3 linked regions of the Arabidopsis thaliana genome follow. The protein of the gene in region 1 purifies or fractionates together with the protein of each later gene. This does not show direct contact. Each region holds a gene or a part of one and is shown on either strand. Other genes may lie near its edges.

Region 1 (3,755 bases):
TCTATTGACGCCAATGTTTGAGGAATCTACAGAAAAATATTAAAATTATCAAGACAGCAGGAACCAATACAAAAAAAATCACAAGACTAGGCAGGAGGGCAACATTTTTTTAGTTAAGTTTCAAACCGAATACTAGGATCTAAATAGATATAGTGAGTATAAATCACATGCCTCTACAAACAAGAAAAAATACATAAACGTAGCAAGTCGTCAGGTCTTGCCTTCTAACATTCAAATGCATATTCAAAGATAGATACGAGTCTATGTGCAGTACCTGTCGCTTTTTTCGCTTCTGGGAAAGAGCAGCATTACAATCAGTCAATTCCGTAATAATTTCAGCTGAAATTCCAGGACACAATTTCTTTGCATCAGGACCCAGTTCCTCGTCAACGGCAGCTATTATACAACAAAAGAGTATAGTGACATGTTACAAGAGGAAAAAATAACTAGCCAATATATTTTGAGTAAAAAGTGTACAATCATACCTCGTTTACCATTACTCAGAGCAGCATTAGCTGTCACAGCTTCAGGGGCCGCAGGTATATGTCTCTCAACCTCGGCCAGTAATTGGCGTGCTTCGTCTCTTTCTTTTTTAAGTCTAGCAATCACACGACAAGCAGAATCATGCTGCAAACAGAAGGTAAAACAGTCCCATCAGTAGACTAAACACACTAAAAGATGAAATGAGTGAGGAAAATAAATCTAGGGTGCATAAAACAAATTTATTGACCATGGCACCTCATAAACTGGTGACAGAAACACACAGCCAAAATTACCTGATACAAGGCATGACTTAGCTCTTGCCTTGCAGTATGTAGTTGTTGCTCCAGTGCAAAATTTGATAGCATCAAACCGTCCCATTCCTAAAAAATGCAAAGCAGCTAAACTTCTCACGCAATTACTTCGAATAATTCATCCCAAAAAAATGAACAATTTATGTTGATTAGCACTCAGAAAAGGAGCAGGTGATCCGCGTAATAATGTTACTAAAGAGAAGAGGCCAATGTGTTCAGTTAAACGAATCTTGTATACATTTAAGAAACAACCTTGGAAAATTTATTTTAAGTCAATCAACCAAACTCTACATGACCAATAACATAAAACATTGTGACATTTCTTAGTGAACTTCCCATTAAGAAAACAAGCATAAATCCAAGAGAAAAGGTAGGAACAAATTTGCAAAAGAACAATTAAAGCTTACATTCTGGAACGTTCCGAGCAATCCAGGGATACTAGCTGTATGCAATGTTTTCGGCTTTATGATCTACACAATTGACAATTACATTAAAAAATCTCAAACAAATATCGTCAACAGTACTTTGCATCAAATAGTTAAAGAGATTACACTACCTCCCCAGTTTTGATGGGAACAATGTCATCAATGGTAAGTGGTTCGCCAGTAACCGGGCACTTCCCATAATCCTACAGAGGAAAATAATTTAGAAGAAATCATTCATTTCCAAGTGGCGTGATAATCTAAAAGAGCTCTCACTGGAGATCGGATCTCATTGGTGCCCAAAAGAATTTCTCGATAATTTCACAGTGCTACAAGAATCATCCGAAGTAAACCAAACAACATCACTCAAATTACGAGAAATCCTTCCAGTGAGAACAAAAAAAACAAGACGGTAAAAGTACTTGGCAGTGCTTAATTCAGCTCAAAGCTTACCGATATATGTCTTTCGATTAGTCGTCTCTCGAAGAGTAATCCTGACTTCGTCGAAACCACTGGCTCCACGGGAACTTCTCCTGAAACTGAAAGAACACAGTGCCGCCACCAACATCAACCATAAGAAAACCCTAAATCGGCATATTGAGAAAAAATAGAGAGAGACGACTGAAAGCTTTACTTGCACAGTTCATCGTAGGAAGAACGAGTGATACGACGAAGTACGAGAACTCAGGTCGATGTAGAACTTCCTGTGAGTGGGGCGGAGCAAGGGTTTTATCTTCTCCGGTCCGGCGCTACAAAGCAAAAACGCGGAAGCCGGGAAATGGTTGAAGAGAGAGACGACGATTAACACTCTCACTTGATATATTAGGGATTCAATTTAATTGGGCCTTTAACGATCACCTTCTTATATTTGGGCTTTTAAATCGATCCAACCATTAGAATTTGAAATTGACGACGTTTTATATTAGTTTTAAAATCTGTTTTAACTCATGTTGAACTAAAATTGGGCATTCAGTAATTTTGGTTGATTCATGTACATTTACTCATTAGATTATAAAACAAACCCATTGTTTTGTTACAGATTTTTTTTTGTTATATGTTGTTGCGACTATGTTTTAATCTAAAGAACGAGCACAAATATCGAATGAGACCGAGGTAGGTTTGTTCTTTGCATCTTAATCGCCTATCTTATACCCATTACCCACCAACACTCCATACTCACCAACAATCAAATAACAATTAACAACATATCCTCGATCACAACAAACAAAATCAACCGTTCAAGAGATCCTAAAAATATGTTCTAAGATGAAAGAATAAGGGATATATGTTTGTACATTTCATTGACAATTAGAGATATGGTTTATCTGTTGGTATATCGTTATGGATTCACGTTGCAAATGCGACCTCCACGGGTTCGATATACAAATTATATACCTAAGGTCAAAATCAATGGTATTTTATTTTTAATGTCTAAAGATAGGACGATGAGGGTACCATCCTAAGCACAATAGCTGTGTCCTTTCTATTTGCATAAAAGTTATATTCTTAGGATCCAAAGATGAAAGCGAACTCTCATACAAATACAATGCTCCAAGAAAAAAAGAAAAAAGAAAAAAAAAACAATGCTCCAAGAAAAAGATATTTATGAAGAAAAAATTATTTTTCATATTAAACCTAGATTGAAGAACGAGCTAATGACGCATATGTATAGTTCATATACGCATGACATTTTGTTTTGTTTTCAACCCTAAATAATACGTACGTATAACGTTTGAGATTATGTAATTAATATTGGTGAATCGTAATTATATATAGATAATTAATGGTTGATTATATATTACAGATGCACATGCATATATAAATTTTCTTCATTTTAGGTATTGGTTTTATATCTTGAAATTAAAGTGGTGGTCGTTTTCTATTTGGATAATGCGTGATGCATATATTGCATTTCAGACTTTATATGAAGATGGTCATATCTTCAAAAGTATCAATTCATCAAATCAGCTTTGATCTTAAGCTGTTTTACTTTTATTTTAATTTCCTTTCGTTAAATTTTAATCTGTAAACAATTTATTGCAATTCTCGTAATCCCAAATTCTGAACTTCTACACCCAGATAATCCTTATAATATGTGTCTTAATCGCTATTATGCACGTGTGTAGTGTAGTTTAAGCTCATACACAATTTTGTGTTCAAAAAAAAAACCTCATATAAAATTTAGTTTGTGCAGACGACTTGAAAGTGAAGTAATAATATTTTTGGACATAGAATAACTAGATAGACTCTTGACAATGATTTTCAAATGGTAGATAGACTTTTGTGACCAAAATAAGATACTGAAAGGCGATGTTGATGTCTCATGATTAGAACAAATAAAAAGAAGAGAACTATATTTTCCATGTAATGAAATAAGTGAAATACAAAAAACACTTAAGATCTACTATAGTAACCAAAAACGCTTTCAAAACCATTAAAATAATATTTTATTTTTATCGGCAACACAAGTACAAATGTAAATCGTGGGCTTAAACAAAAAGTGAATCCGTGTTTACCTATTTGAAGACTATAAATGTGA
Region 2 (3,646 bases), on another chromosome or scaffold:
TCCCACTTCTGACATTTTTATTTTGTTATTTTTCCCTTTAATACATGACCTGATGACCAATTTCAAATTTACTCTTAAATTTTCAAGGATGAAGTTCATTACGAAAGTTTAATCTATTAGAAGGCAGAACTGAAAATAGCAAATAGTGCAAAAATTTTATTCTTTGGAACATATTTGAATAATGTGATTATTTTCAGCTAATTATCGTCTTCTCTTTGTCATAAACACAAAACAATGTATTTATCAATTATGTCTAAGGAAACATAAATTGATGAACAAGCAGAGTTTCACTTTCTGTCTACAAATTTGAAATTACACTTCCACAAAATCATATTATCGATAACAAACTTTTAAAATCACATTGAAAATCTCAAATCACAATGAATGATTCTTCAATGTAACGTTGTGTTAGTTCCACGTTCGATAAAACAAACCAAAATATAAATACTAGAATTCAACTCAAAATGTATGTGTATTCTACCTTTTGTTTTTGCAAAACTCAACTTCTTAAAACTCATACTAGTTAGAAGACAAATCACAGTGAGAATCAGAGAAAAATAATAATTTTAAAGCCTCATGAATGTGTATGAATTTTAACAATCACAAACTAAGTAAAGAGTATCAGCTTCCTAATTAGATAGCAGTATCAGCTTTTTACTTCCTAGGCAAGCGATATCCACCAAAAACACAAGCATGCTTTTCCTCACAAGAGTCAAGATGCAATATCTCTGTTGGTCTCAACTCTTCCATTTGTAACTTCTCCACTTCCATCTGATACACAGTTTCTGCTGCAATTGTTGAGTCTATAGAATTCGCCTGAAACAAGTAACTTAGAGTTAACCAAACAATGCACACTAAAAAGAGAATGATTTTGATTTGAATCAATGGTCAAAAAAGTTTTGTTACAAACCTTTATAGAGATCATAAAGTGCCCTCCAGATTTGAGGAAATAAGAAGCATTGAGACTTAATATGTTAGCTTGCTCAGGGTGATTAACATCAGAGAATATGATATCAACCATTCCCACAAGCATTCTATATTTAGCAGGATGTCTAGCATCTTCAATGATTGGTATAACATTAGTTCTCTTCTCCGCCATGTTCATCAAAACTTTACCACAAATATCAGAATGCTCAACAGCGTAAACACATCCCTCCTACCAATCAGAAAAGCTAGATATAAGTAACATAGAGAGAAAACACTCACTCAATCTTAAAAGTTAGGGTTTAAGGTTTAGTGTTCACTTACTGGACCAACAATGTCAGAGACATGAGACACGGTGTATCCAGAAGAAGCACCAAGGTACAGAACTTTAACACCAGGTTTCTACAATTTCAAGAAACAAGTATTCATTAGTTTCGGTAACAGAAGAATAAAAGAGATTGTTACTTTAAGTTATGGGACTTACGATCCAAATGTTATCAACACCAGTGGTAATAGCATCAGCTAACTTAGATCTATGAGGGTTCCAAACTCTGTATTCAACAGTAGATCGGTCTTCGTTCTGAACAAAGATTCTCTTCTCATTGTAAATGATTTCACCAGGAACTAAGTTCTTGGTTACAAGAGCATCTGCTTTACTTTTGGCAACAAACACTCCTGCGTGCCTGTGTGGTGTCACTAACACTTTGCTTCCTCCCTTAATTCCACCGTCCGATTCACTTTTAACTCTTCCAGGCCCTCTTCCACGGCCACTTTCGCCGCCTCTTCCACTGCCTCTTACGGCACTTCCTTCACCGCCTCTGGCTAAACCTCTTCCACCTCTAACACCACCACCACGTCCTGAGCATAATCATACAGATAAAACCGAAATTAACTAATCAGAAGAGAGTATTATTAAATCTCCTATTAAACTTGGATTGAAGAAGTGAAGACTCAAAACAGTTTACGTAACAAGCAATTCAGGTAGATATATTGTGACAAAACGAATTTGGAGTTAACAACCCTCAACCCTATACTATAGGTCGAACAGAGAAATTAAACAAGTAGTAAAACAAAACGGCTGCTAGGGTTCTAACCTCTTTGGGGAGGTTTCATCTTTGCTATAGAGCGAGAGCGAAAGCAACAAAGAGAAGGTTGATGTTAATCGATGTTTGCAGCTTTCGTGTTTGGTTTTTTTATTTTTTAGTTTTTATCGAGCCCCTGCTAGGGTTTAAGAATGTTTATCTATTGGAATTTGGAGTTGGTATAGGAAAGCTGGAAAGGTTCCATTTATTTTTCCGATAAATATGGAAAAGTTTTTATTTATTACATTTAACAAATTCTGTTAAACAGTTTACTTCTTGTAGGAAGATTTCAGATCCTATCGAACTCTTTTTATCGAATCACCACCATCAGATTTCTTGTTATGCAAGGAATACATGATTTTGAAATACAAAAGGTCAGAATATTAGGAGCTTAAGGCCCAATAATTAATTCAGGTAATGGGCTTATTAGACATGAATTGTTTTCGTAAACTTAGTGCCATAAGGACTAGATTGTAAAATTTTGCATCTTATTGTTATAACTTTATATTGCAGATCAAGTAATCAGAGATGCCTTCTGACTTTAAAGTCCAAAACAATCATTAGTTTAAACAAAACAAGAAGAGGAAAAAAAATCACACGAAGTTGGACAAAAAACTCATAAAATTGATTTTTTTTTCATTAGTTAATAAACAATTAAGGCCTTGAATGATTGTAAATTCTAAAATGGTGTCTAGTTTGCATAAATAGATTTTTTTTTTTTGCTTTTCATTAATTAATAAAAAATTAAAAATTTAGATTTCTTAGCTTTTCAGGAAACTTTTTTATGCAAACTAGAAACCATTTTAGAATCTACTACCATTCAAGGCCTAAAACTAAAACCAAAAACTACTTAGAATCTACAAATAATCAAAGAAGGCCTAAAACTAAATGACTTTCTGATATATATATTTCACAGATTTGACATTTTGATCCTCATCAGAAATGGATCCGCTGTCTTCACTGATGAAAAACGAAGAGCCAAAAAACTGGGCGGATCTTCCGACGGATTTGATGTGTTTGATTCTGCTACGTCTTAGCGTGACTGAGATACTGGAGAACGCTCAGAAAGTGTGTAGATCGTGACGATATGTTTGTAAAGACCCATCCATATGGCGTAAAATCGACATGCGAATCTTGAGTTACAACAAACCAGTACTGGTGAACAATCCTGAGGCGATATGTCGTAACGCCGTTGATCGTAGCGAGGGTGGCTTGCTGGAGATCAACATTGGGGACTTCGGGAGTGATTCTCTCCTTACATACATCGCGGAGAGGTTCTCCTCTAATTCTAGTTTTGACTTTTGATTACTTTTCATGTAAGTCTTCAAGTGTCTGTTAAAAACAGATATCTCAAGATTATGATTTATAACTTTTTACACACCATTACTTGTAGGTCAAGTAATCTTAGAAGCCTTAGACTAATGTGCTCAGAAATAACAGACGATGGATTTGTTCAAGCAGTTGTGAAACTTCCAATGCTTGAAGAGCTTGAGGTTTCAGGAATATCATTGTCAGGAGAGTCTATGAAACTTGCAGGGCTGTCTTGTCCAAATCTGAAGACATTGATGCTAAACCGCCTCTTTTACTTAAGTTCGGATGATGATGATCATGATGCCATAGCAATTGCAGAAAGCATGCCT
Region 3 (3,755 bases), on another chromosome or scaffold:
AATGTTATGCATCAAAGAAACAATGTGTCCAATATGTTCAAAGAAGTTAGAATATGTTCCCATATAGATGTGGTTTTGCACCAAATGGTAAGAGAATATACATTCTTCATTTAAACACAAGCGTAGACGTTGTTGAAACTCTAGGCATAGACTTTAAGACCGTTTCTATCACCTCTCTCTCTTCAAGATGGAAGGTTGATATCTCTCTCTTCAAGATTGAAGATTGAAAATGTTCCCATATAGATGTGACTGTCACTTTCTTTAAACACTTTGCATTAGCAAAAATGTATCTTATGAGCTGTGTCTCTTCTTCGTTTCCTCTATATCCATGCCACACAAACTCCTCATCTAAATGAGCCGACAAGCATCTGGGAACAGTACCTTGGTTGGTACCATGACAATGGGAGATTTCCGGGTCGATATCCACTTACCTGGATGCAAGTACATAAAAATCTATGAGGTGGAATCAAAGAATCAGTTTATACAACAAGGAGATTGCGTTGTTACTTGTTACTTACAGAAGTGATAGCAAGAAATCTTAGTTTAGGAGAGTTGTTGAGAATTAGTGGAATTATATCCAACCAGAGATGGCCATGTGGACATATCACTAATTTTCCAAGTCGAGTGAAGGTAAAGCCACGAAAATCCAGAGCCTTCAATGACTAAATCAAAAGCCAATATAAATCAATGTGATCAAACCTAACAGCCAAGAAGAAAAAAAACAATAATAATAAAAAGGATAGATACCATTGGATCTTCCAAAGGTAACACAAGATACGTGACCAAGGAAATAGCTTTGAGAAACTTGTCATCAGTATGACATACAACGTCGATATGTGGCTTTTCAAGGCGAAGCTTATGCACCTTCGCGAAACGGTAGTCCCGGTTATCACTGATGGCGAGGCCCACTTTCGATCGGGCAAGAACTGAGCAACTTGATATAAGCCTCTCTAGAGAATTTTCATCTTTGAACACCACATAAAAAAGGCGTAATATGTTGAGTGACGGGAGGCAAACCGAAGAAGGAACATCCACTATAATCTTGTCCGAAAGAGTCAATTCCACAAGTGTTTTGCATGTGTAAAGACTCTTAGGCAAGCTGGTAGGCTCTGCCGTCCAGTGGAGCTCTAACTCTAGCTTGCGCACAAAGCGATCAACTGCATTTGCAACTAATTTCCCAACATCTACCTCAATAGAAAATTTTTACCGAGTTGGATGCACAAAGTTTCTAGAAAAGGTGCCTTGTGAAGTTCCAATAACTTTTCAAGAAACTTCCACACGCTTTCGCATTCATCACCAGGATCACTGTACTCGAGTTTAGGCAACAACGTCCAGACATAACGCCATCGTTTTGACAATATCATTGTCCCAACTGCATCTTTGATCGGTACAAGCAACAAAATCTGGATAAGCAAATCGTCGGGCAACGAACTGATCTCGTCTCTAGAAGCAACAACCTCTTCATCAATTCTTTGACAACGTTCGGCCATTAGTGATGTAATAGCTAGCTGAGTTTGTGATAAAGATTTCAAATATAGGTAAGCAGAGACGAGGAGGAGCAAGTCGAACCCTAAAAACTTTAGATGATCGAGAACCTTAGATATATTCGTAATTTCTCTATGAGAAATTGAGAATAAGTGAATAACTAACTCTTCTTGTCTCACAAAAATAAAACCCTAACTTATCTTTTCCGTGAGACATAAACAAACCCACTTTGGGCCAATAAAATCGGCCCATTATTATCTTGACCCAATCCGGATCAAACCCAACTCCATACTTTGGAGTTTGGACCCATCGTTACCAATGTAGTAGACTAATGTAGTTAAGATATATATAATAGAAGGGCCTATTTATAAAATACAAGAAATGTTACCAAAGCATAAACCCTAAAAGCCCTAAAATCTTAATATATAAACCAACTCACAGAGACTCTAAAATCAGCCACCACCGCACATCTCTCTCCTTTGCCCTCGTTTTTTTTCGGTTCTCGTCTTTCGTTCTTCACTTTTAGACAAGCAAATATGAGACCCCCAGTTACAGGTAAGAACCTTAGTTAAAGTTTATGTCTTTCTTGTTCTGTCTGCCTCTAGAGTATAACCCTGTCCGTATCAAATCTGAATTCGTATCATTACGGTTTCTGTAGTTTGAATTGGTAGTTAGGGTTTTAATTCATGAGCCTTTTGTATCTTCACTGTTTCAATAAAGTTCAAAGATAAAAGTAGAGATTTTTAATAACACTCTGTTCTTCCGTTTAGTTAATTTTCTGTATGTTGGTATTGTTATAATCAGGAGGACGTGGTGGTGGAGGATTCAGAGGTGGAAGAGATGGTGGTGGAAGAGGTTTTGGAGGTGGAAGAAGCTTTGGAGGAGGCCGTAGTGGTGACAGAGGCCGTAGTGGGCCTCGCGGCAGAGGACGTGGTGCGCCTCGTGGTCGTGGAGGACCACCTCGTGGAGGAATGAAAGGAGGAAGCAAAGTGATTGTTGAGCCTCACAGACATGCGGGAGTGTTTATTGCTAAGGGTAAAGAAGATGCTCTTGTCACTAAGAATTTGGTTCCTGGTGAAGCTGTTTACAATGAGAAGAGAATCTCTGTTCAGGTATGAAGTTTGAGGATTGTTTTCTTTATAATTAAATTGAGTTTGTTTTTGTTCTTATATTATAGCTACTTCACTTTTGCAGAATGAAGATGGAACTAAGGTTGAATACAGAGTTTGGAATCCGTTTAGATCTAAGTTAGCTGCTGCAATTCTTGGTGGTGTCGACAACATTTGGATCGTAAGTCCATCTATACACATACCACATTGACTCTGTTTTCTTTTTTTGTATTGAAAGACATGTGCTTGAATTGGTTCTTTGTTAAAACTTTTGTAGAAACCTGGTGCCAAAGTTCTTTACTTGGGTGCTGCTTCTGGGACCACTGTCTCTCATGTTTCTGACCTCGTTGGCCCTGTAAGTCTTTCACTAAATTATTATTTTAGTTATCCGTAGGTCCATTTCTATCCTATGTTTGAGACTTATCTTTGTTCTATTGCTTTATGATTTGTAGGAGGGATGTGTTTATGCTGTTGAGTTTTCTCATAGAAGTGGTAGAGATTTGGTGAACATGGCCAAGAAGAGAACTAACGTTATTCCAATCATTGAAGATGCTAGACATCCGGCTAAGTACAGAATGCTCGTGGGCATGGTTGATGTCATATTCTCTGATGTTGCTCAGCCAGATCAGGTTTGGTTCTATATTTCTTACTATGAAAGTTTGAAGTTACCCTTTCTACAGTTTTATTCACAAAGGTTACGTCATATTGCATTGCATCTTTTGCTTTTAAAATATCAGTTCATTGAAATCGGCATATGATGACATTTCATTTACTATGAAATGTTTGAAGCCTTTTTATTTTACAGTTATATCTTCAAAGTTTTTTTTTATTGCATTGCATCTTTTGCTTTTAAAAAAATCAGTACAATGAAATCGGCAGATGATGATTTTACTTGGATTCCCCTTCAGAACATTTATGGGTGTTGCAAACTCCAAGCTTCTGATGCTACTTTGTATCTTTTTACTAAAATTTTTTACTTTGAACATGCAAATCTGTTTTAATCTCAAAGTTTTTATTTGTCTTCATTTGGTATATCTTATCGATTTGGAAGAAGTCTTTTCGGTTTCTTCTGGTTTTCAACAATTGCATTTTCAAGTCATTTAGAAGTTTTACTTTATTACTAAACTTGGAGACTCAATTGTTGTAGCAATATTGCTGAGC

The links.
Region 2: the proteins of MAC3B (region 1) and AT5G52490 fractionate together in Arabidopsis thaliana (co-fractionation; one large-scale study listed by BioGRID). This does not show direct contact.
Region 3: the proteins of MAC3B (region 1) and FIB1 fractionate together in Arabidopsis thaliana (co-fractionation; one large-scale study listed by BioGRID). This does not show direct contact.

What each region holds. Positions count from the first base shown.
Region 1 is NC_003071.7:14,129,138-14,132,892, forward strand, and holds the start of MAC3B (MOS4-associated complex 3B), read right to left. Parts: upstream 2,088-3,755; 5' UTR 1,864-2,087; coding exon 1,851-1,863; intron 1,756-1,850; coding exon 1,670-1,755; intron 1,423-1,669; coding exon 1,351-1,422; intron 1,265-1,350; coding exon 1,202-1,264; intron 864-1,201; coding exon 777-863; intron 628-776; coding exon 486-627; intron 397-485; coding exon 275-396; intron 27-274; coding exon 1-26. UniProt on the Arabidopsis thaliana protein: Probable ubiquitin-protein ligase which is mainly involved pre-mRNA splicing and DNA repair. Component of the MAC complex that probably regulates defense responses through transcriptional control and thereby is essential for plant innate immunity.
Region 2 is NC_003076.8:21,297,248-21,300,893, reverse strand, and holds AT5G52490 (Fibrillarin family protein), read right to left. Parts: upstream 2,038-3,646; coding exon 2,019-2,037; intron 1,783-2,018; coding exon 1,409-1,782; intron 1,327-1,408; coding exon 1,249-1,326; intron 1,157-1,248; coding exon 911-1,156; intron 817-910; coding exon 655-816; downstream 1-654. Other genes in the region: AT5G52480 (RNI-like superfamily protein), read left to right, coding at 3,132-3,280, 3,400-3,646. UniProt on the Arabidopsis thaliana protein: S-adenosyl-L-methionine-dependent methyltransferase that has the ability to methylate both RNAs and proteins. Involved in pre-rRNA processing.
Region 3 is NC_003076.8:21,292,269-21,296,023, forward strand, and holds the start of FIB1 (fibrillarin 1), read left to right. Parts: upstream 1-1,878; 5' UTR 1,879-2,021; coding exon 2,022-2,040; intron 2,041-2,289; coding exon 2,290-2,597; intron 2,598-2,679; coding exon 2,680-2,775; intron 2,776-2,871; coding exon 2,872-2,949; intron 2,950-3,046; coding exon 3,047-3,223; intron 3,224-3,467; exon of another isoform or gene 3,468-3,541; intron 3,542-3,755. Other genes in the region: EDA41 (FBD, F-box and Leucine Rich Repeat domains containing protein), read right to left, coding at 107-426, 515-653, 748-1,188, 1,281-1,490. UniProt on the Arabidopsis thaliana protein: S-adenosyl-L-methionine-dependent methyltransferase that has the ability to methylate both RNAs and proteins. Involved in pre-rRNA processing.